7 linked regions of the Oryctolagus cuniculus genome follow. Each later gene encodes a partner of the first gene's protein in a complex. Links are inferred from orthologs where the notes say so. Each region holds a gene or a part of one and is shown in the gene's direction. Other genes may lie near its edges. The genes, in order: TMEM216, CC2D2A, TMEM17, TMEM107, CEP290, B9D2 and AHI1.

What was found.
Region 2: TMEM216 (region 1) and CC2D2A share a complex: the UniProt entries of both Homo sapiens proteins name them as parts of the tectonic-like complex. The link is inferred for Oryctolagus cuniculus from reciprocal best matches to the Homo sapiens genes TMEM216 and CC2D2A.
Region 3: TMEM216 (region 1) and TMEM17 share a complex: the UniProt entries of both Homo sapiens proteins name them as parts of the tectonic-like complex. The link is inferred for Oryctolagus cuniculus from reciprocal best matches to the Homo sapiens genes TMEM216 and TMEM17.
Region 4: TMEM216 (region 1) and TMEM107 share a complex: the UniProt entries of both Homo sapiens proteins name them as parts of the tectonic-like complex. The link is inferred for Oryctolagus cuniculus from reciprocal best matches to the Homo sapiens genes TMEM216 and TMEM107.
Region 5: TMEM216 (region 1) and CEP290 share a complex: the UniProt entries of both Homo sapiens proteins name them as parts of the tectonic-like complex. The link is inferred for Oryctolagus cuniculus from reciprocal best matches to the Homo sapiens genes TMEM216 and CEP290.
Region 6: TMEM216 (region 1) and B9D2 share a complex: the UniProt entries of both Homo sapiens proteins name them as parts of the tectonic-like complex. The link is inferred for Oryctolagus cuniculus from reciprocal best matches to the Homo sapiens genes TMEM216 and B9D2.
Region 7: TMEM216 (region 1) and AHI1 share a complex: the UniProt entries of both Homo sapiens proteins name them as parts of the tectonic-like complex. The link is inferred for Oryctolagus cuniculus from reciprocal best matches to the Homo sapiens genes TMEM216 and AHI1.

The regions. Positions count from the first base shown.
Region 1 is NC_091432.1:10,788,626-10,793,028, reverse strand, and holds the start of TMEM216 (transmembrane protein 216), read left to right. Parts: upstream 1-1,226; 5' UTR 1,227-4,403. UniProt on the Homo sapiens protein: Part of the tectonic-like complex which is required for tissue-specific ciliogenesis and may regulate ciliary membrane composition.
Region 2 is NC_091433.1:10,481,947-10,486,592, forward strand, and holds the start of CC2D2A (coiled-coil and C2 domain-containing protein 2A), read left to right. Parts: upstream 1-1,741; 5' UTR 1,742-2,080; intron 2,081-4,646. UniProt on the Homo sapiens protein: Component of the tectonic-like complex, a complex localized at the transition zone of primary cilia and acting as a barrier that prevents diffusion of transmembrane proteins between the cilia and plasma membranes.
Region 3 is NC_091433.1:140,425,935-140,429,066, forward strand, and holds the end of TMEM17 (transmembrane protein 17), read left to right. Parts: intron 1-33; coding exon 34-137; coding exon of another isoform or gene 138-239; intron 240-285; coding exon 286-399; intron 400-1,643; coding exon 1,644-1,922; 3' UTR 1,923-2,580; downstream 2,581-3,132. UniProt on the Homo sapiens protein: Transmembrane component of the tectonic-like complex, a complex localized at the transition zone of primary cilia and acting as a barrier that prevents diffusion of transmembrane proteins between the cilia and plasma membranes.
Region 4 is NC_091448.1:52,666,901-52,671,342, reverse strand, and holds the start of TMEM107 (transmembrane protein 107), read left to right. Parts: upstream 1-1,313; 5' UTR 1,314-1,538; intron 1,539-1,759; 5' UTR 1,760-3,133; coding exon 3,134-3,220; intron 3,221-3,335; coding exon 3,336-3,398; coding exon of another isoform or gene 3,399-3,403; intron 3,404-3,494; coding exon 3,495-3,595; intron 3,596-4,164; coding exon 4,165-4,269; intron 4,270-4,442. UniProt on the Homo sapiens protein: Plays a role in cilia formation and embryonic patterning. Requires for normal Sonic hedgehog (Shh) signaling in the neural tube and acts in combination with GLI2 and GLI3 to pattern ventral and intermediate neuronal cell types.
Region 5 is NC_091442.1:90,803,913-90,808,535, reverse strand, and holds the start of CEP290 (centrosomal protein of 290 kDa), read left to right. Parts: upstream 1-1,527; 5' UTR 1,528-1,864; intron 1,865-2,150; 5' UTR 2,151-2,178; coding exon 2,179-2,280; intron 2,281-2,427; coding exon 2,428-2,505; intron 2,506-3,497; coding exon 3,498-3,567; intron 3,568-3,844; coding exon 3,845-3,891; intron 3,892-4,623. UniProt on the Homo sapiens protein: Involved in early and late steps in cilia formation. Its association with CCP110 is required for inhibition of primary cilia formation by CCP110.
Region 6 is NC_091449.1:13,273,064-13,276,401, forward strand, and holds part of B9D2 (B9 domain-containing protein 2), read left to right. Parts: intron 1-708; coding exon 709-834; intron 835-3,338. UniProt on the Homo sapiens protein: Component of the tectonic-like complex, a complex localized at the transition zone of primary cilia and acting as a barrier that prevents diffusion of transmembrane proteins between the cilia and plasma membranes.
Region 7 is NC_091436.1:33,410,750-33,414,717, forward strand, and holds part of AHI1 (jouberin), read left to right. Parts: intron 1-1,643; 5' UTR 1,644-1,701; coding exon 1,702-1,711; intron 1,712-3,503; coding exon 3,504-3,628; intron 3,629-3,968. UniProt on the Homo sapiens protein: Involved in vesicle trafficking and required for ciliogenesis, formation of primary non-motile cilium, and recruitment of RAB8A to the basal body of primary cilium.

The DNA.
Region 1 (4,403 bases):
TGAATGAGTTACACAGAGAGAGAAGGAGAGGCAGAGAGAGTCTTCCATCTGCTGGTTCACTCCCCAGCTGGCCACATCAGCCAGAGCTGTGCCAATCCGAGGCCAGGAGCCAGGAGCCTCCTCTGGGTCTCTTGCGTGGGTGCTGGGGCCCAAGCACTTGGGCCATCTTCCACTGCTTTCCCAGAAGAGAGCTGGATCAGAAGTGGAGCCGCTGGGACACAACCAGCGCCCATAAGGGATGCCAGCACGGCAGGCGGTGGCTCTACCTGCTGTGCCACCATGCCAGCACCTCTAAATCAGTTCTTAAGAATCCTTGAGCCTCTAGCATTCACTCATCTGACTGCTGTGTGCTCTGATTTCTCTGGGCTCTCCTAATCAGAGTGGAGCACAATTTTGCCGTGAAACAGTACAGGTGATAATGCCGTGAAGATACAATGACTGTCCAACACAGTGAAATGGTTTATCCATGAGAGTAGTAATAATGACTTAATGCTCTGGGGAAGACAGAAAAAGAAACAGAGGAAACTTAATTGAAAAATGAAAATGAGGCCAGCACTGCGGCTCACTAAGCTAATCCTCCACCTGCGGCGCCGGCACCCCAGGTTCTAGTCCCAGTTGGGGCGCCGGATTCTGTCCCGGTTGCTCCTCTTCCAGTCCAGCTCTCTGCTGTGGCCCGGGAGTGCAGTGGAGGATGGCCCAGGTGCTTGGGTCTCTGCACTCTATATGGGAGACCAGGAGGAAGCACCTGGCTCCTGGCTTCATATCGGCGCAGTGTGCCGGCCATAGTGGCCATTTAGGGGGTGAACCAACGGAAGGAAAACCTTTCTGTCTCTCTCTCTCACTGTCTAACTCTGCCTGTCAAAAAAAAAAATGAAAAATGAAAATGAAACCTCTTTTACATAAACAACTAATGTGTGTTCTAAATTTTTTTTTTTTTTTTTTTGACAGGCAGAGTGGACAGTGAGAGAGAGAGACAGAGAGAAAAGTCTTCCTTTGCCGTTGGTTCATCCTCCAATGGCCGCTGCGGCCGGCGCACCGTGCTGATCCGATGGCAGGAGCCAGGTGCTTCTCCTGGTCTCCCATGGGGTGCAGGGCCCAAGGACTTGGGCCATCCTCACTGCACTCCCTGGCCACAGCAGAGAGCTGGCCTGGAAGAGGGGCAACCGGGACAGAATCCGGCGCCCTGACCGGGACTAGAACCCGGTGTGCCGGCGCCACAGGTGGAGGATTAGCCTAGTGAGCTGCAGCGCCGGCGTGTGTTCTAAAATTCTAATCCTTCTTGCATTTCTACTCCTACAAATATCTTAAGAATTCAGTTTTTTTTTTTTTTTTTAAGATTCTTCATTTATTTGAAAGGCAGAATTACAGAGAAAGAGGGAGAGACAGAAAAATCTTCCATCCGCCGGTTCATTCTCCAAATGGCTGCAATATCCACAGCTGGGCTAGGCTGAAGCCAGGAGCCAGGAGCTTCACTGGGGTCTCCCATGTGGGTGCAGAGGACCCAAAGCACTGGGCCACCTTCTGTTTTCCTGAGCACATGAGCAAGGAGCTGGGACACAAACCAGCACCCTTATGGATGCCGGTGTCAGACAGTAGCTTTACCACGCCACAAAATCAGCCTCAATATTCATTAAAAAAAAATAAATAAAACTAGGCCGGCGCCGCAGCTCAATAGGCTAATCCTCCGCCTTGCGGCGCCAGCACACCGGGTTCTTGTCCCGGTCGGGGCAACGGATTCTGTCCTGGTTGCCGCTCTTCAGGCCAGCTCTCTGCTCTGGCCCGGGAAGGCAGTGGAGGATGGCCCAAGTGCTTGGGCCCTGCACCCCGTGGGAGACCAGGAGAAGCACCTGGCTCTTGCCTTCAGATCAGCGCGGTGTGCCAGCCGCAGCATGCCGGCCGCAGCGTGCCGGCCACGGCGGCCGGTGAACCAACGGCAAAAGGAAGACCTTTCTCTCTGTCTCTCACTGTCCACTCTGCCTGTCAAAACAAACAAACAAACAAACTATATAGGGGCCAGCATTGTGGTGTAGCAGGTAAAGCCATTGCCTGTGACGCTGGCATCCCATATGGGTGCCGGTTCAGGTCCCAGCTGCTCCACTTCCAATTCAGCTCCCTGTTAATGGTCTGGAAAAGCAACAGAGGATGGCACAAGTCCTTGGGCCCCTGAACCCATGTAGGAGACCTGGAAGAAGCTCCTAGCTCCTGGCTTTGGCCTGCTTGCAACAGCCAGTGCTGGGCTAGGCTGAAGCCAGGAGCCAGGAACTCTACCCATGTCTCCCTCACGGATGGCAGGAGCTGAAACACTCAGGCCATCACTGATGCCTCCCAGATACATCAGCAGGAAGCTGGATGAGAAGCGGAGGTGGGACTGAATCCCAAGCACTCCAATGTGGGATGTGGGCATCCCAAGCAGCAACTTAATTAACTGCCCCAACACCGACCCCCAAGTGGCATCTTAACTGCTGCACCAGCTGCTTGCACATTCCCCGACTTAACTTTGATGCTCAATTTTACAAGGTTTGTACAAGGAAGTGAAACTGCAAACACCTGAACCAAATATCAGCAAGTGAAATCCAGTGATATATAAAAGGCAAAACATCTGAGTCAAGGGTCCCCAAAACCACACACAGGCTTGATGATCTGCTAGGAGGACTTGCGGGGCTTGGCATACAGTTGCCCTCACAGCTGTGACAGAATACACAGTCAGAAGAGGGAAAAGGTGTCCAGAGGAAACCAGGAATAAGGGTCTGACAACCTTCTCCCAGTGGCATCACACAGGGTGTGCTTAATTCCACCAGCAACAGTTCTGGGAACAAACATGAAATGTCTCCAGGGAAGCTCAGTGGAGACTCAATCCAAGGTTTTTTGTTTGGAAGTGATCACATAGGCACCCTCTGCCTAGAATGTGTCCCAAAATTCCAGACTCCCAGAAGGAAAATGGGTGTTCAGCAGAAGCCACACTGTTTGTACAGTTTAGGCACTGTGAGCCACTTTTTTTTTTTTTTAAGATTTATTTGTTTGAAAGGCAGAATTACATAGAGATGGGAGTGGAGAGAGAGAGAGAGATCGATCTTCTGGGGTTGGTGCTGTGGCGTAGCGGGTAAAGCCACCACCTGCAGTGCCAGCATCCATTGTGAGTGCTAGTTCAAGTCCTGGCTGCTCCACTTCTGATCCAGCTCTCTGCTATAGCCTGAAAAAGCAATGGAGGATGGCCCAAGTCCTTGGGCCCCTGCACCTACATTGGGGACCCAGAAGAAGCTCCAGGCTCCTGGCTTTGGATCGGCGCAGTTCCGGCTGCTGCAGGCATCTGGGGAATGAAGCAGCAGATGAAGACCTCTCTCTCTCTCTCTCTCTCTCTCTCTCTCTCTCTCTCTGCCTTTCCTCTCTCTGTAACTCTGACTTTCAAATAAATAATAAATAAATCTAAAGAAAAAAAAACAAAAAAGAAAGAGATCTTCCATCTGCTGACTCACTCCCCAAATGGCCACAATGCCTGGGACAGGGTCAGTTGAAGCTAAGAGCCTGGAACTCCATCTGGGTCTCCCATGTGAGTGCAGGGGCCCAAGCACTTGGGCCACCATCTGCTGCTCTCCCCAGATGCATTATCAGGGAGCTGGATGGGAGGTGCAGCAGCTGAGACTTGAACTGGTGCTCATACGGTATGCAGTGCTGCAGGCAGTGGCCTAACTCACTGTGCCACAACACTGGTCCCCAAGGAGCCCTTCCAAAATCCCAGTTCCCAAGCATCAGCCAAGTGTCAACCTTGCAAACTGGCCTTTCTAAGGATAGAGTCTCAGGCTGCTAGATTAGCTTCTTATGCACAATATCATAACCAAGTGGATTTTTTCCCCTAGGAAGCAAAGATTGGTTATACCTTTGAAAAAAAAATCAATGTAATTTATCACCTTAGCAGAATAAAGGGGAAAATCATATGGCTGTCTCAATCGATATAGAGAAAACACTTAACAAATCATAAGCCTTTTAGTAAGCTAGAAAAATAAGAGACTTCCATAAAGTGATAAAAAGTACTTACAAACATATCTATAATTGGAGTGGGTGTTTGCTGGGGCAGTGAGACACTGCCTGGGACGCCTGCATCCCATTTCAGAGTGCCTGAGTTGGAGAACCAGCATACCCTGGGAGGCAGCAGGTGACGGCTCAAAATACTTGGGTCCCTGACACCCATGTAAGAGAACCAGAAGGAGTTCTGGGCTCCTGGCTTCAACCTGTCCCAGCCCTGACTTCTGTGAGCATTTGGGGAGTGACTCAGCAGCCACAAGATTTCTCTGTCTCTCAAATACTGTTTTTAAAAAGTTCCTGGGAAGGCCAAGCACCAGCATAAGCCCTGGGTGTCCCTGCATGGTCTTGCTGACTGAAGCACACTCTGACTGTCCCAGTACTGA
Region 2 (4,646 bases), on another chromosome or scaffold:
CTCACTAGGCTAATCCTCCACCTAGCAGCGCTGGCACACCGGGTTCTAGTCCCGGTCGGGGCGCCGGATTCTGTCCCAGTTGCCCCTCTTCCAGGCCAGCTCTCTGCTGTGGCCAGGGAGTGCAGTGGAGGATGGCCCAAGTGCTTGGGCCCTGCACCCCATGGGAGACCAGGAGAAGCACCTGGCTCCTGCCATCGGATCAGCGCGGTGAGCCAGCCGCAGTAGCCATTGGAGGGTGAACCAAGGGCAAAGGAAGACCTTTCTCTCTGTCTCTCTCTCTCACTGTCCACTCTGCCTGTCAAAAAATAAAAAAAGAGAGAGGATTGGTTCTTGGCATTCTGGGGGCCAGGAAGGCCGGGGCTGAGGGACCTGAGTCTGGAAGGGGCCTTTTTGTTGTGTTATCCCATGGAGGAAGACAGAAGGGCAAGAGAGAAGGAAAAACCCATCCTTTCCCTTTTTTAAAAAAAAGATTTATTTGTTTATTTGAAAGGCAGAGTTACAGAGAGGCAGAGGGAGGGAGAGAGAGAGAGAGAGAGAGAGAGAGAGAGAGAGGTCTTCTATCTGCTGGTTTACTCCCCAGATGGCCACAGCAACCAGAGCTAGGTCCATTCAAAGTCAGGAGCCAGGAGCTTCTTCTGGGTCTCCCAAGGACTTGGGCCAACTCCCACTGCTTTCCCAGGCCAAGGCAGAGAGCTGAATCGAAAGTGGAGCAGCTGGGACTTGAACTGGTGCCCATATGGGATGCCAGCACTGCAGGCAGCAGCTTTACCCACTACGCCACAGCGCTGGCCCCAAACCCATCCTTTCATAAGGAAACCACTCTGTGGTAATGAGCCCACTCCTGTACCTGCATTAGTCCAATCACCAAGGACAGAGACCTCTGAGCTGATCACCTCTCATCAGGCCAACACCTCCACACTGTTGCACTGGGGTTAAGTTTCCAATACACCCAAATGATTGTCCAAGGCTCACCATGCAAGGCCACCCACAGGAGCCCTAAAGGCAGAGGATGGGCCAGAGTCTTTCTGGAGATTTTCCCAGGAAGGAATGGGAGAAGCAGGGTAAGTGTGCTAAGTTTAGTGAGTTTGAACCATGCTGGTGGGATCTGGGCTGCAGGAAGTATTCTCGGGTGTCTGCTACCTGGCCGTGGGATGAGTCAGGACAGGGAAGCACTGGTCTGGTAAGTGAGAGGTTGGTAAAGGTTGATGGTGTGTGGGGGGCTCCCGCTTGCTTGGTTTGTATATGAAAGTAGAGTTTCCAGCAGGCTGTCTCCAGGATCAAGGTCCCAAATGTCAGAGCAACCAGAATACAGAAAACAAAAAAATACAGCCAGTGCGCACACACATACAGAGAGAGAGAGAGAGAGAGAGAGAGACCTAGGCGTGAGCAGACACACACAGAAACAAGTACACTTGGAATGTGGCTTCCCTTGGCCTGCTCAGCCCAATTCCTCTGCCACCTGCTTTGCCTCTTCTCCCACTTCCTTTGCTGCTTTGAGCTGTAACATGTAATCCCCTTTTAGTGATTGCAGTGGGATTCGGAGAACAAGCAGAGATGAAACCTGTGCAGTCAGTCCTCCGTGTTTAGCCCGAAAGTCGCTGAGCGCAGTATTTGCTGGTGGCCTGCGGCACCTCCAGAATCAGGTGACGATGACCTTCTCTGAGTCTAAGTTGCCCCATCCTTGTCATCACCTGTCATTTACATGAAATGCAGGAGGACCAGCTGATGACAAGAGGAAGCTGCACTCCTAGTGTTTTCCCTCATTTTGCTCAGCTCCCCGCTAAGCTGGTTTCTCTTTGCCTCCGTTTTCCTGGGAGGCTTGCCTTCCACTACTAGAAATAAGCTGTCACTTTAAAAGAAAAAAAAAAAAGCCTCCAGTGACCTTCCCTAGGAACGGGTTGCTAAGCTGGTGTTTTTGCTCTGGGCCGTGGCTTGCAGCTCCCCAGGCTGCAGCCCGGGGCCTCCCCAGCTCACTGCCTTTCCCTTCCGGCCACTCAGAGGATTCAACAGCAAGGACCATCTCTCTCCACCTTCCTCCTCTTCCGGGAAGCAGCCAAGTGCCTTTTGTAAAGCACGTAAGGTAAATCAGTTCGTAACGGGAGCAGTGACGCTTTCCTGTTTGCAGTTATGGGTTCCGAGTGAGTGCAGCCTCTCCCTGGGCACCCTGAGAGTAGATTTCATGAACTGGCCGTCCAGGGGATCTCTTCATTATTTACATTTTTACTTCCTGGGACGGGAATACGTAGAGCAGTACTGGGGTGGTTTTGATTCAAGCTGCCTTCTGGCGTCTGGTATGCAGGAAGTGTTAAGTCAGGCTGATCCCGCAGCCTCCAGACCAGCACTCAGCAAATCCTTTGCCGCACGTTGCATTTCTGGGCCTTTCCGTTCTGTGTGGGTCATGGGGAGAAGTACTTGTAGGTGCAAACTTCAGTGGCCTTAAGCAAGGGGTGATTAACCACAGAGCTGCGGATTGCATTGCTTTCCAAAAGACCGCTAGAAAATCCACTGGCTGCAATTAAAACAGATTGTTTCCTTTCACTGCAGAAGGATGCAATGAAAAACTAACGAAGTCTAGCAGGAAATCCAGGTCTGCTGTTGCATTGTACGAACAGTTTCTGCAAATAAATTGAGTACTGGTGTGAAATATCTCTTTCCATAGAAAGATGGATATAGACAGACAGATCTCCTACAGCACATTTACAGAGTCGTTGATTCAAACATTTATTGAGCATTAACAATGTACCAGACAACATGCTTAGGTTTAGAGTGTGAGAAAACAAATTAGACCAGATCAGAAATCCAGCTTGCTGGGGAAAGAGCCCTATAAACAGATGATCATACTACAATGAGCTAAGTGACAAAGGAGATTTACAAAAGGGTCTAAAGGGCTTAGAGCACCTGGGGACCCCTAGGGAGTCCTTAGCATATCGGGTCAATGCATTAGCCATATACCACCGAGGGCAGCTCAAATGTGGCATTTACTTGGGCTCTTTGAGGGCAGTATATACTATATCAAGCTGATAAATGATTCCGTAAAGCTATCTGCCTCTAGCGTGGTACTAAGGGGAGCCATGGTTGGAATAACTCATTGGGTTAGAAAATGAAATCAAAAGGGGTGCATGCGGCACCTCCCCAGGTTTCCGAGTTCCCACTGGAACAGGCTGGGACAGACAAATGCTCTGAGGGTGAGATGGAGAACGTGCTCCGGAGAATAGGGCAGGACCTCTCAGAGGCACCATAAATGGAAACAGAAGACCAATGGCCTTGGACCTGACTGGAGGGAAGGGGTGGGTTATGGTAGCCAGGGCTGAAGGTGGGAAGTCAAGCCTGTAAGTACAGTGGCTCCCATGTCACCCCAGGGCTTTCTGTCCCTCAAGCTCTTTTCCCTCCTCACTCCTTTCTTCACCTTTCCCTTCAACTGTCACCTCTTCTTGCTAATGACACCTCACCCTACCTAGAGCCCAGTGCTGACAGACACTTTACTACTCACTTCCTCCCACTGAGTCCTTACAACTGATTGCTCTTTGAGGTTGGAACACGTTCGCAATTTTACCAGCGAAGGAGCCTGTCTCAGGGAGGTGAAGGCATGGCTGGAATTTGAACTCAGGGCCACACAACTCTTTGTAAAGGCCTCACATGCTTCTGTAAACCCATCGTGTCACTGCTCGACAGAAGGAGGCACAGACTGTGTTGGATTTAAGCGCCGAGGTGGAAATGCTCTGTGAACCGTGTTTCTCCTTTCCTCTTCTTTCATACAGTAGTCCCCACTCACAGGACCCTCTAGGTATGGCTCTGGCCCTCTGACAATGCTTGGAACTAGTTCATTTGTTCAGAGGAAGCATCAGTACTTTTCCTTTAAAAACGTGCTTTCTTTTGAAATCAATCATTCACGGTAGCCTGGAAGGGGGAGGACTCTGGGCTCTTAGAGTCTTGGGGTCAAATTCTGAACATGGCATTTCATAACAACGACCTTGTACAAACTATGGAGTCTGCAAGAGCCTCAGTTTCCTTGTGTATAAATGGGGCATGCGTTGCTGAGCTCGGAGTGTTACCGCGAGAACCAAAAAAGAACGTTTATCGGAAGATCCCAAAAATAGCTGTGCAGTAAATCATAGCTCTTGTTTTGATGTTTCCAGTAGGAATATATTAACAAGCACCCAGTGCATGTGAGGAAGGCAAGCCATGGATGAACACTGGGCAATATTGATTTATCTTTTCTTAGCAACAGAGTTCATAACAAAAATAAATTTTGGTGTCATTTGATTTCCTTAGAATCTCATTCAAAGTTAATGATCAGGAAAGAATGAAAGGGAAAAAAACAACCCCATTACATTTTTCATTTTAGACTTCTGTTGTTTCTTTGTGATTTTTCTTCTGTGTTTTAGTGACTAAAGTATTTCTGGACTCTTTTTTTGCGTTCACAACGACCAGAGTCATTTATGAGACAGTTTCTGTGCCCTTTGGAATTTGCATTCTCAGTGTGGACCCCCGGTTAGCTCTAGGTTAAGGAGGGCCTCCTTCTGGGTTTTTTGTGTGGTTGACAATAGGATTTCAGATCCTTTACTTGCCTTTAACATGCTAATTCCCCAGGAGGGTCAGCTAACCCTTGACCATCTCAAATTTGCTGTTTAAATGACCAAATCCTG
Region 3 (3,132 bases), on another chromosome or scaffold:
TTTAGAATGTGCTCCTTTCTCTTTCTTCCGCAGATAACGAGATGGTCTCCAGTTTGGCACTGCAGATGTCACTTTACTTTAACACTTACTTTTTCCCCCTTTGGTGGGTGAGCTGCATTATGATGCTTCAGCTGAAGGTGAGTCTGCGCTTTAGCGTCTGCCGAGGCCCCTTCTGCGCACCCTTGATGTTGCTACACTGTCCAGAAATGGAATGGTCTCAGTATTTTTTTAAACCCCAGGTCAGTGTGAGGTTTTGCAAACTTTATTGTTTTATTTCTCTTTTAGTATTCTATCTTGCCTGATTACTACAAATTCATTGTGATCACTGTTATCGTCCTGATAACCTTAATTGAAGCAATTCGTTTATATCTGGGCTACATGGGTAACCTACAGGAAAAGGTAGGTTCCGTTTTCCTTTCTCTCAGCACCGCATCAAAGTGCATCAAGGTTTTCATAACAGGTTAAAGGCAGTGAGGTGTGGTGGAAAGACATAAGCCTGAATTTAGTCCCTGGCTCCAGCTTTGCTCATCTGCTATCGTGGTCTCTTTGCTTAATCTCTTGAGCCCCGGTTTCATCATCTTTAAGATGGGGAAAATACACTTCACGGGCTTGTTGGGATTAAGTGAAATGACTGATATCAAGTCCCTGAATATAGTAAGCACTGAAGAATTGATAATGTTCTTCTCTCCTTATCAGTCTCAAAGATATTTGGTCAATTGACCATGTTAATTTGGATCCTGAATGAGAAATCAGGAGAGAAAGGGGAGTTATAAACGAATTTCCTCAGCCAGGCCCGTGTTTTCTGAGTCGTTACGCTGCCTAAGCATTTATGGTTGCCAGGGTGTGGGAAGGATGCCTGAAGAGGTTGTGGTTTTCTAGGCCTTTCATAACGATGCTCCACCCAGCCCATCTTAGTGTTTTGCTTGGTATTTCTTAGCCCAGCCTTCCATTCCAGGTTGATGTGTTGGTTCCCAGTCATGCTCCTTTCACATGCTTGCTTACTTACCTTCTTGCCTCTTCCTCCTTTTGCACAACTTCCAAAGTTTATATCCTCAGGGCAGGCATTTGGCCTAGTAGTCACAACACCAGCTGAACCACTCACATCCCGTATCTGAGTGCCTGAGTTTGAGTTCTGGCTGTGCTCCTCATTTCACCTTCCTGCTAATGTTCACCCTGGGAGACGGTGGGCAGGTCCCTGCCACCACATGGGAACCTGAATTGAATTCCTGGCTCTTGGCTTCCACCTGGTCCAGACCTGCCAGTATCTGGAGGGTGAACCAGCAAACACAAACTCTTTTTCTCAAATAAAATAAATAAGTAGTTTTTGAATAAATAAAGCCTACATCCTTATAGTTTTTCTTTCACTTACACCAATCACTGTGTTACTACTTGTACCACTTAGTCCAATATCTCTAAATTCTGCAGTTAAATATTCAATGAAGTTTTTAGCATTCTAGGACTGTTTCATATAAGCTAGTTTTCTGATCTATACTGTAGGTTCTCTGAGGAGAAGGACTACATCACCCTCCTTTTGAATTATTCAGAGTCCATAATGTAGATCCTTAGTAGTGTTAAATCCTTGTTTATCTGTGTAAGCAAAACACTGCATTGGCCTGATCCTTTTCCTCATCATGTCATTGCAGGTTCCTGAGTTGGCTGGCTTTTGGCTTTTGAGCCTTCTGCTGCAGTTGCCTTTAATTCTTTTCTTGCTTTTTAATGAAGGCCTAACAAATCTGCCCTTGGAAAAAGCAATACATATCATCTTCACCATCTTCCTTACTTTCCAAGTTGTTTCAGCATTTCTTACCTTGAGGAAAATGGTCAATCAGTTGGCCACTCGTTTCCACCTCCAAGACTTTGACCGGCTCTCTGCAAACAGAGGAGACATGAGAAGGATGAGGTCATGTATAGAAGAGATTTGACCCAGTGCTGCTGAATGAAAATCTCAAAGTTGATTCTAGAAGACTGCGAGAGTTAGGAAAACATCAGAGACCTAGCATGAGGAAAGGTACAAGGGAAGTGTGTTTACTCTCAAGCTCTGAGTCCCAAGGACAGGGGCAGTGATAAGGCTGTGCCATGCATGAAAGCGGCGTATGAACACTGAAACTTAGATGCTGTCCACCTAATGCCAAATTTCTTTGTTGTTTGATGATGTTGGTCTTTTTGAGTGTGAAAAATTCTGCGTGGTAGTTGTAAGTTTACCAGTTTTACTGTAACATTTCCATTTCAGATCTGTAACCAGAAATGTGTACCTTTTAAATGTGTCAGTTATCCATATCTTGACTGTGTATCAGACCATTTTTCTTGAAGTGCATGGAAATGCTGGTCAATATTATTGTGCATCAGACCATATTTATAAACCAAAAAACAAAATTTTTGTATTTGCTGTGGTTAACTTCTAACCCTAGTCTTAGAAGGTATACTGATGTAAAGAAGAAAACAGATTATCATGGTATTAAGGAAATATTTTTGTCAAAGAATTATAACTTTCATAAAACCATGTTCAGTATTTGTGTGGCAGTATGCAAAATGTTTTCATAATAAATTATCAAATATTTATGGTAAGCTATCAGCAACAAACAATTCCTGTTTTATATAGATCTTTTGGACTATGGGTTTATTATTTCACACTACAGAAATGCAGGAGAAGGAAGGGGAAAGATTTCAGAGAACCTTCTTTGTAATGAGCACTCTAATAGGCACATTAAATTTAATTTTGTGTTCTCATGTACTCATCATATTCACTGAAGAACTACTTCATATCCATTAAATTAACATGAAGTTTTATTTGGAAACCAGTCTGTTTATATATATAGCAAGAACTAAGATGGCCAAAGGAACCACACTCTTCATTTTTTTTTTTTAAGATTTATTATGTATTTGAAAGGCAGAGTGAAGGAGGAAGAGATAGAGAGAGAGAGATTGATCTTCCATCCACTGGATGGATGTCTCCTCAAATGGTTTCAATAGCTAGGGCTGGGGCAGACAAAAATTAGGAGCCAGGAATTCCATCTGGGTTTCCCACATGGGTGACAAGGGCCTAAGCACATGGGCCATCATCCACTGCCTTCCCAAGTGCGTTAGCAGGAAGCTAGATCAGAAGCAGAACAGTAAGGACTCATTCTGGCACTC
Region 4 (4,442 bases), on another chromosome or scaffold:
CTGGATGGAGTTCCCGGCTCCTGGTTTCGGCCTGGCCCAGCCCTGGCTGTTGTGGCCATCTGGGGGAGTTAACGAGTGGATGCAAGATCTTTCTCTGCCTCTTCCTCTCTGTAACTCCACTTTTCAAATAAAATAAATGCATCTTTTAAAAAAAGGTAGAATGAGAAGCTCGTGTGCGGCGGCGGTGTCGGCAGCGGCTGCAAAGAGAAGAGTTTGGCGCGATGTCTCATACCATTTTGCTGGTACAGCCTACCAAGAGGCCAGAAGGCAGAACTTATGCTGACTATGAATCTGTGAATGAATGCATGGAAGGTATTTGTAAAATGTATGAGGAACATCTGAAAAGAATGAATCCCAACAGTCCGTCTATCACATACGATATCAGTCAGTTGTTTGATTTTATTGATGATCTGGCAGACCTCAGCTGCCTTGTTTACCGGGCTGATACCCAGACATACCAGCCTTATAACAAAGACTGGATCAAAGAGAAGATCTATGTGCTCCTCCGCCGGCAGGCCCAACAGGCGGGAAAATAATGGAGTGGAAGCAGTAGGGGGATGGGGGTGGGCTTGGAACACAGGTGTGTACAGCGTGCTGTAGTGGGAGTTTTGTATTATAGTGATCCTGTTTCCACTTGGTACACTCTAGCCAGATTGAATGTATCAGATGAAGTGTGAGAATGTTGTTCAATCTGAAACCCCCATTGCCCCTTTTTTCTTTTCTTTTTCTTCCCTTTTTTTTTTTTTTTACTTAAACATTTTTATGAGGATTTAGATGGAATTTTTTTGTCAGTTAATGTTGGTTCCAGAGCTTCAGACTGTTGAGATCTGCTTTATAACAGTCACTGTACTAACCCTTAGAGATGGGGTGGGGGGTGGCTCAGTTTAGTTACATCCTCAAGGCAAACTCTTAGTGGAAAATAAATGTTCTTTAGTTATAAAAAAAAAAAAAGGTAGATTGAAATACACAAAAGATGTTAAAATCTATGTGGTCACCATGCTACTAAAAAGATCTAGTTGTGTTTGTAGGACACTACTGAACCGGGATTCTGAAAACTGGCAAATAATGGAAAAAAAAAAAAAGGACCCATTTATCCTGCCTTTCCTGTATGACTCGTATCTCATGGAAAATTCTTACTGATAAAAGAATTCTAGCTGGTAGATGCAGAAGAGGGCTCGAATTAGGCCATCCCCATTTTGCAATCGCTATTGAAATCATGCAGTTAGGCAATGAGGACCCGTGGTACCATTAGGTGAGAATGGATGAAGAATTTTATCACGGGTGGCTCAGCCTGACCGCACCCGAAGCCACCACTCAGACTTCAGCACCACAGACAGACAGACACACAGACAAGCAGGATTCCTGATGAGGTGAACAGAAAGTACAAACCATCCCTCGGGATGTGATCTTACCAGAAAACTGAATGACACATAGATCAACCATTAGACCTGACCATCAGTTTGCAGGAAACACAGTGCCAGGAGAGAATGAAATGACGCCACACGTGGCCCAGTATCTTCAGCAAGAAAAGAAGGAAGGTGAGGTGATGGGGAGGAGGGCAAACCCAAGATTAACAGAGATTTCAGACATGTCAGCCAAGTGGACTTTATTTGTACCCCAATGCACACGTGTGGGGTTGTGGTGGAGGGGAGGGGGCAACAAAGCTGACCACGTGCTGACAACTGTTGAGGCAGAGCAGTGGCCCTCCCAGGGGTTTGTTATACTGTTTCATTTTTACGTTGTGTTTGAAATTTCCTAGGATGCCAAAAAATGAAAAGTTTGCAAGTTCTTTTGTCACCAATTCAAATGCTGAGATACCGAATCCAGCCCTGGAGTGAGTGGCCACCTACGGGAGGACAGCTGGTCACCCGCAGCACAGCCCATGGCCACCAGCAGGCTCTAAAACCCAGGCAAGAAACGACTTTCTCTGAGGCAAGTTTCTATAAACCAAGGTTGTGGACAAGGACAAAGCAGACATAGGCTGCCCACTCCCTGTTCATGAGTCCACACCTAAGGACCTGAGAACTCGGTTTGTACTGTCTAGCCCGTCTCCTAGGCAGAACGCCTACTGAGCAGAATGCTCCAAACCTCCAGCTGTTGAACGCAAAATCCTTGGGTCACCTTGACTCTCCCTTTTCCTCACCCACCCACAGGCCCCGAGCCAGACCCTCTCCCCAATCCTTCTGCTTTGCTCCATCGTCTTTGCTTCACCCTGTCCTTTCTGGATACTTCTATGGCTTCCTCGTTAGTCTCTCCATATTGCAACCTGGGTCGTGGAGAATACGAATCTGACCACGTCGCGCCTGGTGGCTGCAAGGCCTGCCGCGACCACGCTCCACCTCCTTTTGGGCTGCCTACCACTAGGCTTTGCAGTGCAGGCTGACTTGAAGGCTGGGGTTACTCTCCTCAGAAGCGGGGAGGGAAGCCCCTTGGGTGTGCGCAAGCAGCAGGGGTCTTCCTGGAGCCCGTGCGGCCGGTACCTCGGAGACCCCGGAACCAGAGCTGAGCCTTGCGTCCCAGGCAGCTCCAAACCTCCTGTGCGGGACGCTTCGTCCACGCTCGCCCTGTCCAGTCCCGGCGGGGCCGTCCCTAGGCTGAGGCTGCCACCATCTTCTGCACTATGCAAATCCCTCACCGAACCCGGCAAAGATGTCTGGGGTGCTCCGACCACCAAGGGCTCCGTGACAACGGGCCTGCCGGACAAGGTAGGTCCAGTGAACGTTCCACGTTGGGCTCAGGGCACAAGGAAGCTACGAGGACGGAAAGGGAAGACCGCGTCTGAGCCTCCAACCTAAGACCGGCACGCCGGCCGCAGCAGTCCGCGAGCACCTCCTCCGCGGACAGGCCATTCCCGGCAATGCAGCCTGGGGCCGCGCCGCTCCGGACCTGAGCAGCCAGCGAACCCCCGGACGTAGTCCTCCGGTTAGGAGGCTGGCGGCCGCAGCGGGGTCCCCGAACACGGCGCACTTGCACGACGGCGGCTCGAGAATTTACGGCTCTCGCGAGATCTTCAGAACCCGAGGCGCACGGTCCGCGTACGCAGTTACCAAGGCAACGGGGCGGCCCCTGAGGCGCGCGAAGGCCGCGGGCCGGGAGAGGTTTCCCAGCGCCGCCGCCCGCGGCCCTGAGGAGCATGAGCCGGATCTCGGGGCTCGTGCCCTCCCGCTTCCTGACGCTGCTGGCGCATCTGGTGGTCGTCATCACCTTATTCTGGTCGCGGGTAAGACCCACGGCCGCCACTCCGCGTCGCCATCTCGCCGTGGTCGCCGCGCCCACCCCGCCCGGGGTCTCAGCCGGCCTCTCTCACTTCCTTTCCTTTTCTGCCCGCTCCCCAGGACAGCAACGTCCAGGCCTGCCTGCCCCTCCGATTCACCCCCGAGGAGTATGAGAAGCAGGACGTGCAGTGAGCTCTTGGGGGGGTGGGGGTTCGAAGGAAGAGGCGGTGGGAGTCCCGGAGGCCGGGGGTCCTGAGCCGCTCCCCTTCCTCTCTGCAGGCTGGTGGCCGCCCTCTCGGTCACCCTGGGCCTCTTTGCCGTGGAGCTGGCCGGCTTCCTCTCAGGAGTGTCCATGTTCAACAGCACCCAGAGCCTCATCTGTATCCTTTCTGCCCCCACGACCCGTTTCCAGCGCGACTCCCTTCAGCGACCCCCTTCCCCCCAGGAGCCCCGCCTCTGCTTAGGCAGTGCAGGGATTTGACACAATCCTCAAACAGTTGTGGATGCCGCTGTGCACCGGGCCCTGGAGGTAAATGGGGGTGAGGCGGAGGCAGACACACACACACACACACACACACCCCACTATCCTCTAGGAGGGGGTAAAAGAGCCAAGGATTGAGGGAGGCGCTTGACTCTCCAGTTGCGGGCCTCCTGGTGGAGAGTGATTCCAGCAGAGAGGATCAAGTCGCTGTCCGCATTCCTGTGGGGTCCATGGGGGCCTGCTCTGACCTCCCCTCGGGGGTGCAGGCTGGCCCCTCCATGTGGGGTGAGGGTAGCCTGGGGTCTCGGCAGTGCAGGCTCAGCGCAGGCCGCTACACGTGGGCCTGTTAAAATCAGAAGGCAGGGCTGCTGACTCCCGCCGTCGCACAAGGCCTGGGAGCTCCACCACTGGCCTGCCATAGCCCGTCGCTGTTGTGGCCCCAAGACTTTCCTTGACTCCTGTGTGTCGCCCACAAGCCATCGCAGCGCACTGTAGTGCATCTGTAGCCCTGTCGTTCTTCATATTCGAGCGCTGGGAGTGCACCACGTACTGGTACATTTTTGTGTTCTGCAGGTGCGGTTAGCACCCAGTCTTGGGGGGTGGGGAGGAAGGCTCGCCCCATCCAGCTCTTCCCTGAATGTTTGAGACACCAAGACCACATCCTGTGGTCCTTTGAAGTCCCCCCTCCAATCCCACCCTCTACACTTCGGGGCTGGGATGTCTGGTTTGGAGATTCGGGTATTTAT
Region 5 (4,623 bases), on another chromosome or scaffold:
CTCAGAATGCCTGGGGTGGCAGTATGGTAGTTAAGAATATGTCCTCCATCTGTGTTTAATCACACTCCAGCATTTAAGTCGGAGCACAGGACTTAACCTCTCCCAGCCAGTCTCTAAACTTGTATGGAAAATGAGAACAATATGCACATATTTTATTGGACAGTTGTGAAGATTAACTGAAATGGTAAATGATATTTGACATAAAATCCTTCCTAAAAAGAGAAAACAAAATTATCACTCCCATAAATCTAATAAACGTCTTTAAATGTATCCCACAAAATGAGTATGTTTTTACTTCCTAAGGAGTTATTCTTTTTTCACCCAAACACGTGGTTTAAAAAGAAATCTAAGTCTGGAGGGAGAAAAAAACCACCCCTTCCCCCGCCCAAAAGATGAAGAAAGAAATCGTACTTATTTTTAAATGGAAAATTTACTGTCTATGATAGCAAACAAACAAAAAAATCAAAACCACACAGGAGTTTAAAGAACAAAAGACGAAGATGAGAGGCAGTGGTCCAGTTAGCTGGAAACGTCATGTAGATTTTCAGTCTACGGCTAGAGTTGACCAACGCTGTATCCTAACCAGAACGGCTCAGAACAGCAAGAAGAGCACAGCTTGCACGAATCAGAGCGGCAAACACCTGCCAAGCGGGTTCACAGAAGACCACCCTCAGTGACCAAGCAAGCGACCGCGGCAGGACGCCTTCTCTCCACCCCAGCAGCGGTCCGGGCAAGTACTAACCTGCTCTCTCTAGAGCCCTGTCTCTACGCTCACGCATCTCCAATCCGCGGCGGCAATGCAAGGGTGCTGCCTGAGGCCAGCGGGATCGGGAAGGTGCTGTCCCCTCCTCAAGTCTCCCCTCGCCCCCAAACCGTGATCTGGGCTGCGCGGTCTGCGCCCCGCGTACCAACACAATGCTAACACCAAACAAGGCTAACACAAGCTTTCCTTCTAGCGGAAGGCAAGCTGCTGGGTGCCGCCTGCCAAGGCCCAAGGAGGAGATGGGGCTTTCCCACCTCTTTAGACCCTGGTCCAGCCCTTCGGCCCCAAGGGTAGGAGCTTGTTTAAACCGGGACCGCTCCCCTCCTTCCCTCCCCAGTCTGTGCCCTACAGCCCGACCTTACCCAGGAGCGTTTCCACCAGGGAGATGGCTCAAGGAAACCTCAGGAAGGGAGGCCCAAAGAGTGACGCCACCGAAGCCACAGTCATGGTTTACCTCGTTCAGGCCACCAGCGCCGGCACACCTCAGCCACGGCGCCTCCCGCCTCCCGGCTCTTCCTCCGCCTCCCGGGTAGGGTCGCAGCCTGCCGCACTGCACACCGGGAATGCCCCGCCTCCCTTCCTCAGAGACTTCAATTCCCAGCATGCAAAAGTCTCAAGGCAGAATTGCATCCTGGGAGTTGAAGTCTTTGTCTCAAGCCTTGTCTTGGTCCTTAACCCTGTGTTCAGGGAGTTTGGCGGGGAAATCTAGACGTAAAGCATCAACCACAGTCGTGAAATGTAGGCTTTCTTGCATCCGGGGCTTTGTTTCAGTCTGGGCTGGGTGGGGAATGGTGTCGCCTAGTAGCCGACGCCGCCTTTGCCTGCTGGGAGCTAGTTGGCGGGACTAAGAGTTCGCGTGGAACCGCGCTAGGCAGCAATCGGGAGCCGGGTGGGGTTCCGCTAGGTGGTTCGATAGATGAGGGACCACCGCTGGCTGTCAGGATTGGTCTAGGTGGATGGATCATTGCAGACGGAACAGCGTCTCTTCACTAGCAGGTTCTTTAGCCTCAGGGCCCATATGCAACACCCAAGCTACCCCGCCCCTCCTCATCTCTAGTCCGCAATCCTTCTGCCTTCTCTGCTCTAGTCCCGGTTTCCCTGGTACAGCTTTACTTGTTTCGGTCGTTTATTTCTGCATTTTTTTAACTCCCAGTTTCTACCACTCAGAATTAGGGGTCATTTTCAGTTTTGCAAACCAAACAGCTTTGTTCTGTCTGCATTGTCGGTAAAGGGCTTGGAAGAGGGGGCCCAAATCAGTCCTGACCTGGATTAGTTTCAGCAAGGAAGCTGTCGTATTTTATTTAGCCAGTACAATATCTGACGCTTTGTGGCGACTGCAATAATGCTGTTTACAATGAAATGCTAATAACCGCCTGTTTTGTTACAGAAGGTGGAACACAGTGAAAGAATTCAAGATGCCACCTAATATAAACTGGAAAGAAATAATGAAAGTTGACCCAGATGACCTGCCTCGGCAAGAAGAACTGGCAGATAATTTATTGGTTTCCTTGTCCAAGGTGCTTAATTGATAAATAATACATAGATATATGAGTATACATGCAACTTCGATTAATTTAAGTTGTCCCTAAAATCATTGAATTGTACAACTGGAAGAGTTCTTGTTTCTGAAAACTTATAAAATGGTTGATTTTCTGTGCATTTAGGTGGAAGTAAATGAGCTAAGAAATGAAAGTCAAGAAAATGTGGTTCATCTTTTCAGGATTACTCAGTCACTAATGAAGGTTTGTATGCAGTAGATCTTAATAGTACCTTGACCATTAGAGGAAATTTAAGAATCTTTTCTAAAATAATCTCTGTGAAAGCATGTGGTAATGTTGGGATCAGTGCTCAAGGATGAGGTATCTTCAAATAAGAATGGAATACAAATAGAGTGTAAAACATTGATGGTGTTTACTCTACAATTCCTAAAAGAATATGTATGGAAAACAGAAATGGTATGTTTAAAAATAACATAGAGGCACATATTCTGAGGCACAAATGAAAACATGCGGACATTAACTGCTACAGAAATTTTGTCAAGGGTAGAAATGGTTTAAGATGGGAGTAAGACGACTTCATGGAGGACAAAAACTGAGGAAGAGTTTTAGGTAAGTGGAAGGCAGTGGTAAGATATGGTAAGGGAGTTCTAGAGCTGGAGTGCTTTCCACAAATAACTTACGCTTCACACTTGAAGACACAGGTGTAGAAGGTTTGTAGCAGATTATAGAATAAAACAAATTGGGTCGATAGTTTGGGTTGGGCTTTGGACAGCCTTAAAGATTTATTTTATGTTATCAGCAGTTGGGGAGTAAATTAAATTTTTGAGCCATGATTGATGTAAAAATATACCTTTGGAATGTGAAACTGGGTATGTTACACGAGGGAGACTGAAAGTAATTGGGGCTATTTAGATGTAACATTATGAAGGAGCTTTATACATAAAATTATGGGCTAGAAAAATAGTTATTGGAATAGCAAAAAGGGTGGAAAAGTCACACTGGCTATAAAACTTGTGGGAAACGGAAGAATCAAAGGTATTTCCAACTTAAAAATTTAGAAATTGTAGCCTTAAGTAAGAGAATCATTCATTTGTTCATTCAACAAATATTTACTGCATGTCTTCATATATAAATTATTGTAGGCATTAGGGATGAAGACAGCAAATTAAACAAAACCTTTGTTCTCAATGTTTACCTATAGCATAAAGGCATATTGAAATGATTATTTTGTTTAGATGAAAGCTCAGGAAGTAGAGCTAGCTTTGGAAGAAGTTGAAAAAGCTGGAGAAGAACAAGCAAAATTTGGTAAGTGCCTTGTAAAAAGTTTATTGTAGTGTTAAATAACTCCATTTATTCATTAAAGAGTATAAAGATAAATTTAATATATTGTATAAAATGTTTATATTTAATCTATTGAGAAAGACATTTCTAAAAGTTCTAGTTTGGATCTGTTATATAATAGTCACTTTCTCTTATGTCACCTTGAAATCATGGTGGGATCTTTTCAAAGAATTGATTTATTTATTAGTTTGTTTGAGGTCACCATAATTAATTAAAACACTTCTCTTTTTTTTTTTAATAGAAAATCAATTAAAAACTAAAGTAATGAAACTGGAAAATGAATTGGAGGTATGTCCTTTTGTATTCCCTGGGGTGTAATTGTCATTACTTTTTATTATTTTGAGTTATTTTCAGCTATTTTAATTACTTTTGACTGGAAAAATTACAAGGATAACTTTGTTCTCATTTCTGTGTAATACATATTCTGTGTGCCTTTTATGTGCCATAAATTCTTGTAAGGATTAGGGAACTAATTGGGAACAAAATAAAAACAGTTAATAGCTGGATAGTTTACAATCTAGAGAAAGAGAAGTTTGTATTTAAGGTAGAGTGGGGAAGAGTGGAGATTTGAGGAATAGTGATAGAAGGATATGGTAGAAAACATAGTTTTTGCAAATCCAGGGGTTAAAATATGAACACTGTTGGAAGAGGTAAATATATGAAGATTCTGGAGAAGGAAGGAATTAACGTGATACAAAGCGCTTAGCCTTTGAATGCAGGGAGACCCCTTTTCATTGTATTGGGAAGGAAGGAAGAGTGATTGTGTACAGATTGTTATATGTGTAGGTTAAGTAAGTATAAGATGAGAAGTTGGAGATGAGGTCATATGCTAAAGAAGCCAGATAAAGTTGGAAATACTTCAGTACTGAAGAAAGGATTAGAAAGTAGGGCTCTGGAATCAGACAGATTAAGTTCTAGTCCTATTTCTTTTATCTGTTAACTTTGTAAAAATGGGTGAGTTATTTCTGATTTCCTATTTTATATCTAGCTCCAGGAAAATGTCAAGCATTTTCAATAAGT
Region 6 (3,338 bases), on another chromosome or scaffold:
GGGATAGTTTTGGATAGGACAGTCAGAGAGAGCCGCAATGAAAAGGAGGCGCCTCAGCTGAGCCCAGAAGATGAGCAAAAAGCCGGGAATGGGGCCTTCTGGGAGCAGAACTTTCCAAACAGGGAAGTCAGTGCAAAGGCCCTGAGGTAGGGGGACAGACATACAGAAATGGGACCAGTGAGGCCCACGGGTGGTGTGGGAGGGGACTGTGCGGGCAGTGAGTTCAGAAAGGGGGGCAGGTGCCAGGCCATGCGGTGCCCTGTGGGCCACGCAGGAGAGTCTGCCGTGGGGGAGGTAGGAGTCCTGCCGGGCAGCAGAAGGCACTGCCCAAGCACTTAGCCCAGTGTATCCCTTGGTGCATTTTCCCACGGTTATCTGGCCCCACAAGAGGGACTGGGTGCCCATGAGTCCATCTCAGTCCTCGGGGACCCCCAGGGGGGAGAGATGGTAGTAAAGTGAGATTGAACTGGCACCCACACTCACAGACTTCTGAGGAATGTGTCTTGTTTGCCCCTTTCACAGATGGGGAGATTGAGGCAGAGAATGGTAACTTGCCCCGGGTTGTACAAGTAGGAAGAGGTAGTGGCAGGATTTGAAGGTCAACATTTGCTCCAGAGTCCACACTTTGTAACCCCTACCCACAAACGCCAGGGAGAAGCCACAATGGCATCTCCTGCCCACTTGTCTCTGTCCTGGCTCTCACCACAGGGGCAGCATGGAAGCTCCTGTCAGGTGTGCGGGAGGGCCAAACGCAGGTGGACACCCCCCAGGTAGGGGACATGGCCTACTGGTCCCACCCCATCGACCTGCACTTCGCCACCAAAGGTCTCCAAGGTAGGTTCCAGGCCTTAGCCCGGGGTGTGCTGAGGGGAGGCGGCCAGTAGCCCCAAAGCTGCTGGGACTGGAACAAGCCTTGTGGGTCCCTTTCCTAGCCACGCCTGGCCCTGCAGAGGCTGAGCTGACCCTCCCCAGGCCGGCTCTGTTGGGGACCCCAGGCTGGGGGCCTGAGGTGGAGGCCAGGGAAGGTGGGTTCCCAGGAACAGGGAAGCAGCCTTCCTTAAAGAGAGAAACCAGGTCTTCAATAAGGGGGAAGCTGGGAGGGCCTCTGTGAATTAGAGACAGGGAGGCCAGGGCTGGCCGCTGTGCTTCAGCAAGGCTCCTCCCTTGAACGAGTGCTGCTCACGGGGAAACCAGCAGAGTGGAGGAGAGGAGTGGCATCAGAAAACCTGGTGGAAAGTGCGGGCCACAGGGTGGGCACCTGGCTCTGAGGTTTGGGTGCTGCTTGGGATACCTGCACCCCACATCCAGTCGTGGGTTTGAGTGCCAGTGCTACTTCTTTTTTTCTTTTCTTTCTTTTTTTTTTTTTTTTTAAGATTTATTTATTTAAAAGGCAGAGTTACAGAGAGGCAGAGGAAGAGAGAGAGAGAGAGAGGTCTTCCATCCACTGGTTCACTCCCCAGATGGCCACAACAGCCAGAGCTGCACCGATCCAAAGCCAGGAGCCAGGAGCTTCTTCCAGGTCTCCCACTCGGGTGCAAGGGCCCAAGCACTTGGGCCATCTTCCACTGCTTTCCCAGGCCACAGCAGAGAGCTGGATCGGAAGTGGTGCAGGACTCAACCAGCGCCCATATGGGATACTGGCACTGCAGGCAGCGGCTTTACCCACTGTGCCACTGCGCCAGCCCCCAGCTCTACTTCTGGTCCAGCTTCCTGCTGGTGTGCACCCTGGAGAGCACCAGGTAATGGCCACTCGCATGGGAGACCCCTATTGAGATCCAAGCTCCTGGTTTTGTTCTGGCCCAGCCCACGCTGTTGCTGGCATCTGAGGAGTGAACCCTTGGGTGGGCGATCCCTCTCTGTGTTTCCTTCTCTGTGTCAGGGGCCCTGGAGTGTGCCATTCCAGCACTATGTAACCGGCATCTCCTGAGAGCCCGCTCTGTGCCTGTTGCTGTCCTCAGACGGCTGACCATGCCATGTGGGTGGCACAGCCCAGGGTGGGCAAGGCAACCTGCAACCTCCTCCCACAGGAGGAGCCCCACCTTGTCAGTGCGATCAGAGAGGGCTTCCTGGAGGGGACATTGCAACTTTGCCGTGAAAAGCTGGTAGGCGCTAATAAGGCAGCAGGATGTAAGAGGGCTGGGTGTGGAAGGCTCAAAGGGCATTTTGTGGACTAAGGGAGAGTGAGAGGGTGGCGGGGTGGGGGTGGGGGGCGCGGGTGACAGCCCCAGGAGCTGAGGCACGTTTTACGTTTAAAGGATCTTTTTGGGGCTGGCATTTAACCTAGCAGCTAAGACGCCGGCATTCCATACAGCGCCGGGGCTTGATACCAGCTCCAGTTCCCGGCTCCGACTTCCTGCTAAGGCGCACTCTGGGAGGCTAGCAGGAGAGGCCCAGACTGCGTTCCCAGCCTTCTGTCCAGCCTAGGCAAGGCCCAGTCTGAGCCATTTTGTGGGCACTGGGGAGTGAAGGATGAGAGCACTCTGTGTGGTATCTTTGCTCAATAGTAAAGATTTTTTTTTTTTTTTTTTTTTTTGGACAGGCAGAGTTAGTGAGAGAGAGAGAGAGAGAGAAAGGTCTTCCTTCCATTGGTTCACCCCCCAAATGGCCACTATGGCTAGTGCGCCGATCCGAAGGCAGGAGCCAGGTGCTTCTCATGATCTCCCATGGGGTGCAGGGCCCAAGCACTTGGGCCATCCTCCACTGCCCTCCCGGGCCACAGCAGAGCAACCGGGACAGAATCCGGCGCCCCAACCGGGACTAGAACCCTGGGTGCCGGCGCCGCAGATGGAGGATTAGCCAAGTGAGCCATGGCACCGGCTGGTAGTAAAGACATTTAAAAAGGAGAGGGGGGGGGGGGGAGGGGAGAGCGCCTCCTGGCTGCCATGTGGGTGATGGAGGGTAAGGCAGGCAGCTGTCCTTTCAACTCTTTGGCTTCCAGTCCCCGGTGCTGGCATCATCTTTGTTTTCTTTCTTTTCAAAAAATATTTATTTTATTTGAAAGGCAGAGCAACAGAGAAGAGAAAGAGAAAGAGATCTTTCCTCTGCTGGTTCACTCCTCAAATGGCCCAACAGCCCAGGCTGGGCCAGCCAGAGGAGCCAGTAGCCCAGAACTCCCTCTGGGTCTCCCACGGGGGTGGCAGCACTTGGACCACTCTCGCTGTTTCCCCTGGCACAGGAGCCAGGCGCTGGATCAGACATGGAGTAGCTGAGACTTGAACTGGCACTCTTACATAGGATGCTCACATCCCAGGCGGTGGCTTAACCTGTCTGCCCCGGTGCCAGCCCCCTTGCCAGCCTTTCTTATCTGGACTAGCTCGGCAGCCGTTTCTCTGGTGCCT
Region 7 (3,968 bases), on another chromosome or scaffold:
CAACAGTTTTCCTTGCATATACTCATTTAATCTTTACAAAAACCCAGTGAATGATATTATTATTCTCTTTTGAAAGATGAGGAAATTGAGGTCCTTGTCAAATGGAGCTGGAATTTGAACCAAGGACCTGACGGTGGAATTGATGTTTGTAGCTACTTGGTGTCCTTCAGATACACAGCTCAAACTGCCCCACACAATCCCCTTAGGAAGTTCCTGTTAAAATTGTAGCTCATATTTGTTGGTCCTTGTTCTAAAGTACTGTTTAAATCATTTAGTCCTTTTAACAACCCTTTGAATAGGCAGGCTGGTTTTAAGGTTTAGGAGATCCATGGTCCACAGGCATACAAGTAACCATGGAGACTAATTCTAGAACTTAGGTTTCAGCCAGTTTACCACACTGCGCTATAATACAGCCAGTAATATTGCTGTCCTTATTCTGCTTTATACACATAGGAATATTTCTTGATTATTTCTCCTGCCTCTTTATTAGCTACCTAATTTTTTTTTAAGTGTCATAAATTTTCGGCTCAAAACAGGTTGTACCTAGTACATCCAAGCCTTTTTTTTTTATGACTTATAATTCAGTAGTGTTCTTGTATATTGAAGGACCATAGAATAGTACAGAAATGAAGTTCTCACTTGCTTTATAATTTTTCTACTTACATGCTATCAATTAGTGATTCTATCATTGCACTTGCCTTTTCAGTGTAGATTGGAAAGTGGTTGACCACCTGTCATTCAAGTAAACACAGACCCCTATCAGTAATTTGTAGCAGTTTTCACTATGTGGCTTTAATGATGTCTAGCTTGTCTTTCTACAAGTAGTTGTTATAAGTTAACTCCCATAAGTAGGTATGATTTTATAATAATCTTTTTCTTTTTAGCATTTGTTCTCAAGACCTTTCTGCTGGAGGACCATGAATGTGGATGCCCAGGGAACTGCAGTATTAACTAATAATGCCTGAGGAAGCCCAAGATATTTTTTATATCATCTTCAACTTCATTCTTAACAACAGTTGCATGTTCTATTCTAATATGCAAATCAGTTTGTTTATTTTAGATACATATTCCCATCTTTAAATGAAATCACAGTTCAGGAATGTACAGACTGCGTTTATCCATTAGTAGCCCAGGTTAATTAAATCAAAAAGAAGGTGCAAATGTTTGTGCTAGCCTTTCCTACTGTGATAGATTCTCAAATTTCCACCTACGGAGATACTTAATTCATTAGTTGTGAGAATTGCTACCCACAAGTGTATTTTGCTAGTATAATAGAGTATGCTCTGTGAAATGAGCAATGGAGATGGAGTTTCGGTTTCTTAAAAGCACATTAAAATCTTTAATTAAAGCACTTTTAAGAATTTATTAATTTACCAAGTGACACGTTTACTGCTTTTCAAAACTTTTTTAAGTATAGAAACATTTTATTCAAATATGATCAAGTTTGGGTCACATGCTTTTAAGACTATACAGATTCAGATGTACTCAGGTCATTTGCATAAGATTGAAATAAGAGAGCATAGCTTTATTGGTATAAACTTCATGAAGTAGTGGACTTGTACAGTGGCATAATCTTGGTTGAAGAGTGTTTTATTTATATTTTTTGGAAGTTCTGTATTACAAATAAATCTTTGTTTTAATAGGATCCTGATTGAGTCAGTGCTTTACATTATTTCCTAATGCTTGCCATAAAGCTGAGATATGCCTGCTGGTAAGACCTTTATGAAATTTATAAGATTCATATTCTACACATTTAAAGTTTGGTTAAAGAGGTTCTTTAACAGAATAATGAATAAAATAGATGTCATTGACTGAGTATTAGAGATATTTAATAAATTGCTATTCAGTTTTCTTTTTAATATTGATGATTAAGGTTCATATGTATTTAGGAATGGTAGTTATGGACACTGCTAGACAAGGTAAATAATGATTCCAGAATATAGTTAATTTTATTCTTTCTCATCAAAATTGTATGTTTCACTCTAAAGCAGGTATTGGCAAACTTTTTTTTTTTTTTTTTTTTTTTTTTTGACAGGCAGAGTGGACAGTGAGAGAGAGAGACAGAGAGAAAGGTCTTCCTTTTGCCGTTGGTTCACCCTCCAATGGCCGCCGCGGCCGGTGCGCTGCGGCCGGCGCACCGCGCTGATCTGATGGCAGGAGCCAGGTACTTCTCCTGGTCTCCCATGGGGTGCAGGGCCCAAGGACTTGGGCCATCCTCCACTGCACTCCCTGGCCACAGCAGAGAGCTGGCCAGGAAGAGGGGCAACCGGGACAGAATCCTGTGCCCCAACCGGGACTAAAACCCGGTGTGCTGGCCCCGCAAGGCAGAGGATTAGCCTAGTGAGCTGTGGCACCACTGGCAAACTTTTTATAAAGGGCCAGCTACTATATATTTAGGCTTGGGCTCTCCTCTCAGAACTCTGTCATTAAACCACAAAAGCAGCAGTAATAACTCTTAACCAAATGAGCATGTCTGGTTTTGATAAAACTTTACAATAACAACTGACTGGCCTGCAGGCCACAGTTTGCCAACACCTACTCTGGGGTAGTCATTCAGTTAGTATTTATTTCTTTAAAACATATTTATTAAATATGTATTCTTTGCCAGACCTCATGATAGTAGCTAGGAATGTAGATATAAACCACATAGTATAGTGTGAAAGATAGATAATAAGTTTATTTGTGTAAGCATAAAATAATTACATAATTTTCAGTTGTGTTAAGTGCTATAAAGGAAAAGAACAACTTGATATACTGGAAACAGGAAAATTTGGATGAAGTTGTCAGGAAATGTTCCACTTTAAAGGCAAGGTTGCAACAGGCCACTTAGCACCAGCCAGGGGAGTTAGAGGGATCATGCATCAGGCAGAAGCTCCTTCACACAGGAAGAGGCTTGTTCTGTGAGAGAAGCCACAAGAATAGCAGTGTGGCCAGCATGCAGGTATCTAAGAGGGTATTGGTCTTGATTAGAAGCTGCAGGGAAAGGCAGAATCTTGTAGATCATGTGAAGGCCTTCTTTTCTTTCATCCTAACTGAATTGGGAACTCCATAGAGTTTCAAGCAGGGGACAGCAAGCTCTGATTTATATTTTAAAGAAAAAATAACTTTTAATATTTGTTGAATGCCGACTACAGGGTAGGCCACTGATAACCATTTTCATGCGGAATGATTTACAGAATTACTATGATTTTATGGTAAGGAAAATGGAGTTCAGTTAACTAACATTTCTGAGGCCACATAACTAACAGTCGTAGACACTGCTGTGCATTATAAGTAAAATGTTAGCAAAGGAGATAAGGTAGGGCCAAAAAGTTAGTAGGAATACAGGTGTGTGTTATAGCCAAAGCCAAAAGAAAAAGTATTTTTAAAAAAAGATACAGGTCAGTTGTTGTAATGGAGCTAGAGAATGTACACAGCTATTTATAAGACTGTATTTCTTACCATAATTCAGGTTTGTGTTTGGGGCTGTTTAGAGAAATGATTGAGTCTTTGTTGTTTTGTAGTTGAGAGTGAAGCCAAAGTAAAAACCAAAGTACGCTTTGAAGAATTGCTTAAGACCCACAATGATCTAATCCGTGAAAGAAAAAGACTGAAGAAAAAACTTGCCAAATCTAAAGAAAACATTTCAGTGAGTAATTGATCATTTGGTCATGGTGACTTTTATATCATCCTGAAATTAAGAGTTTTGTATCAAAATTCTAAGGAATTTTGCAAGTTGAAAACTGCAACTCTGTATCATGGTCAACAACACGTGAATAAAATATTATATTATATTAGATATCACATTAGAATCAGCAGCATTATTTTGGAGTATTTTAACCTTGAATGCTGTCCTACCAGAACAACATAGCCACACTGGTGAGAGTGACCAGGAATAATAGGGAAGCTCAAGCCTAGCCTTATTAAACATTTTTTAAAATAACTTCACAGTTTTTAACCCAGAGTTATGAAGAACTTAGGAATTAATA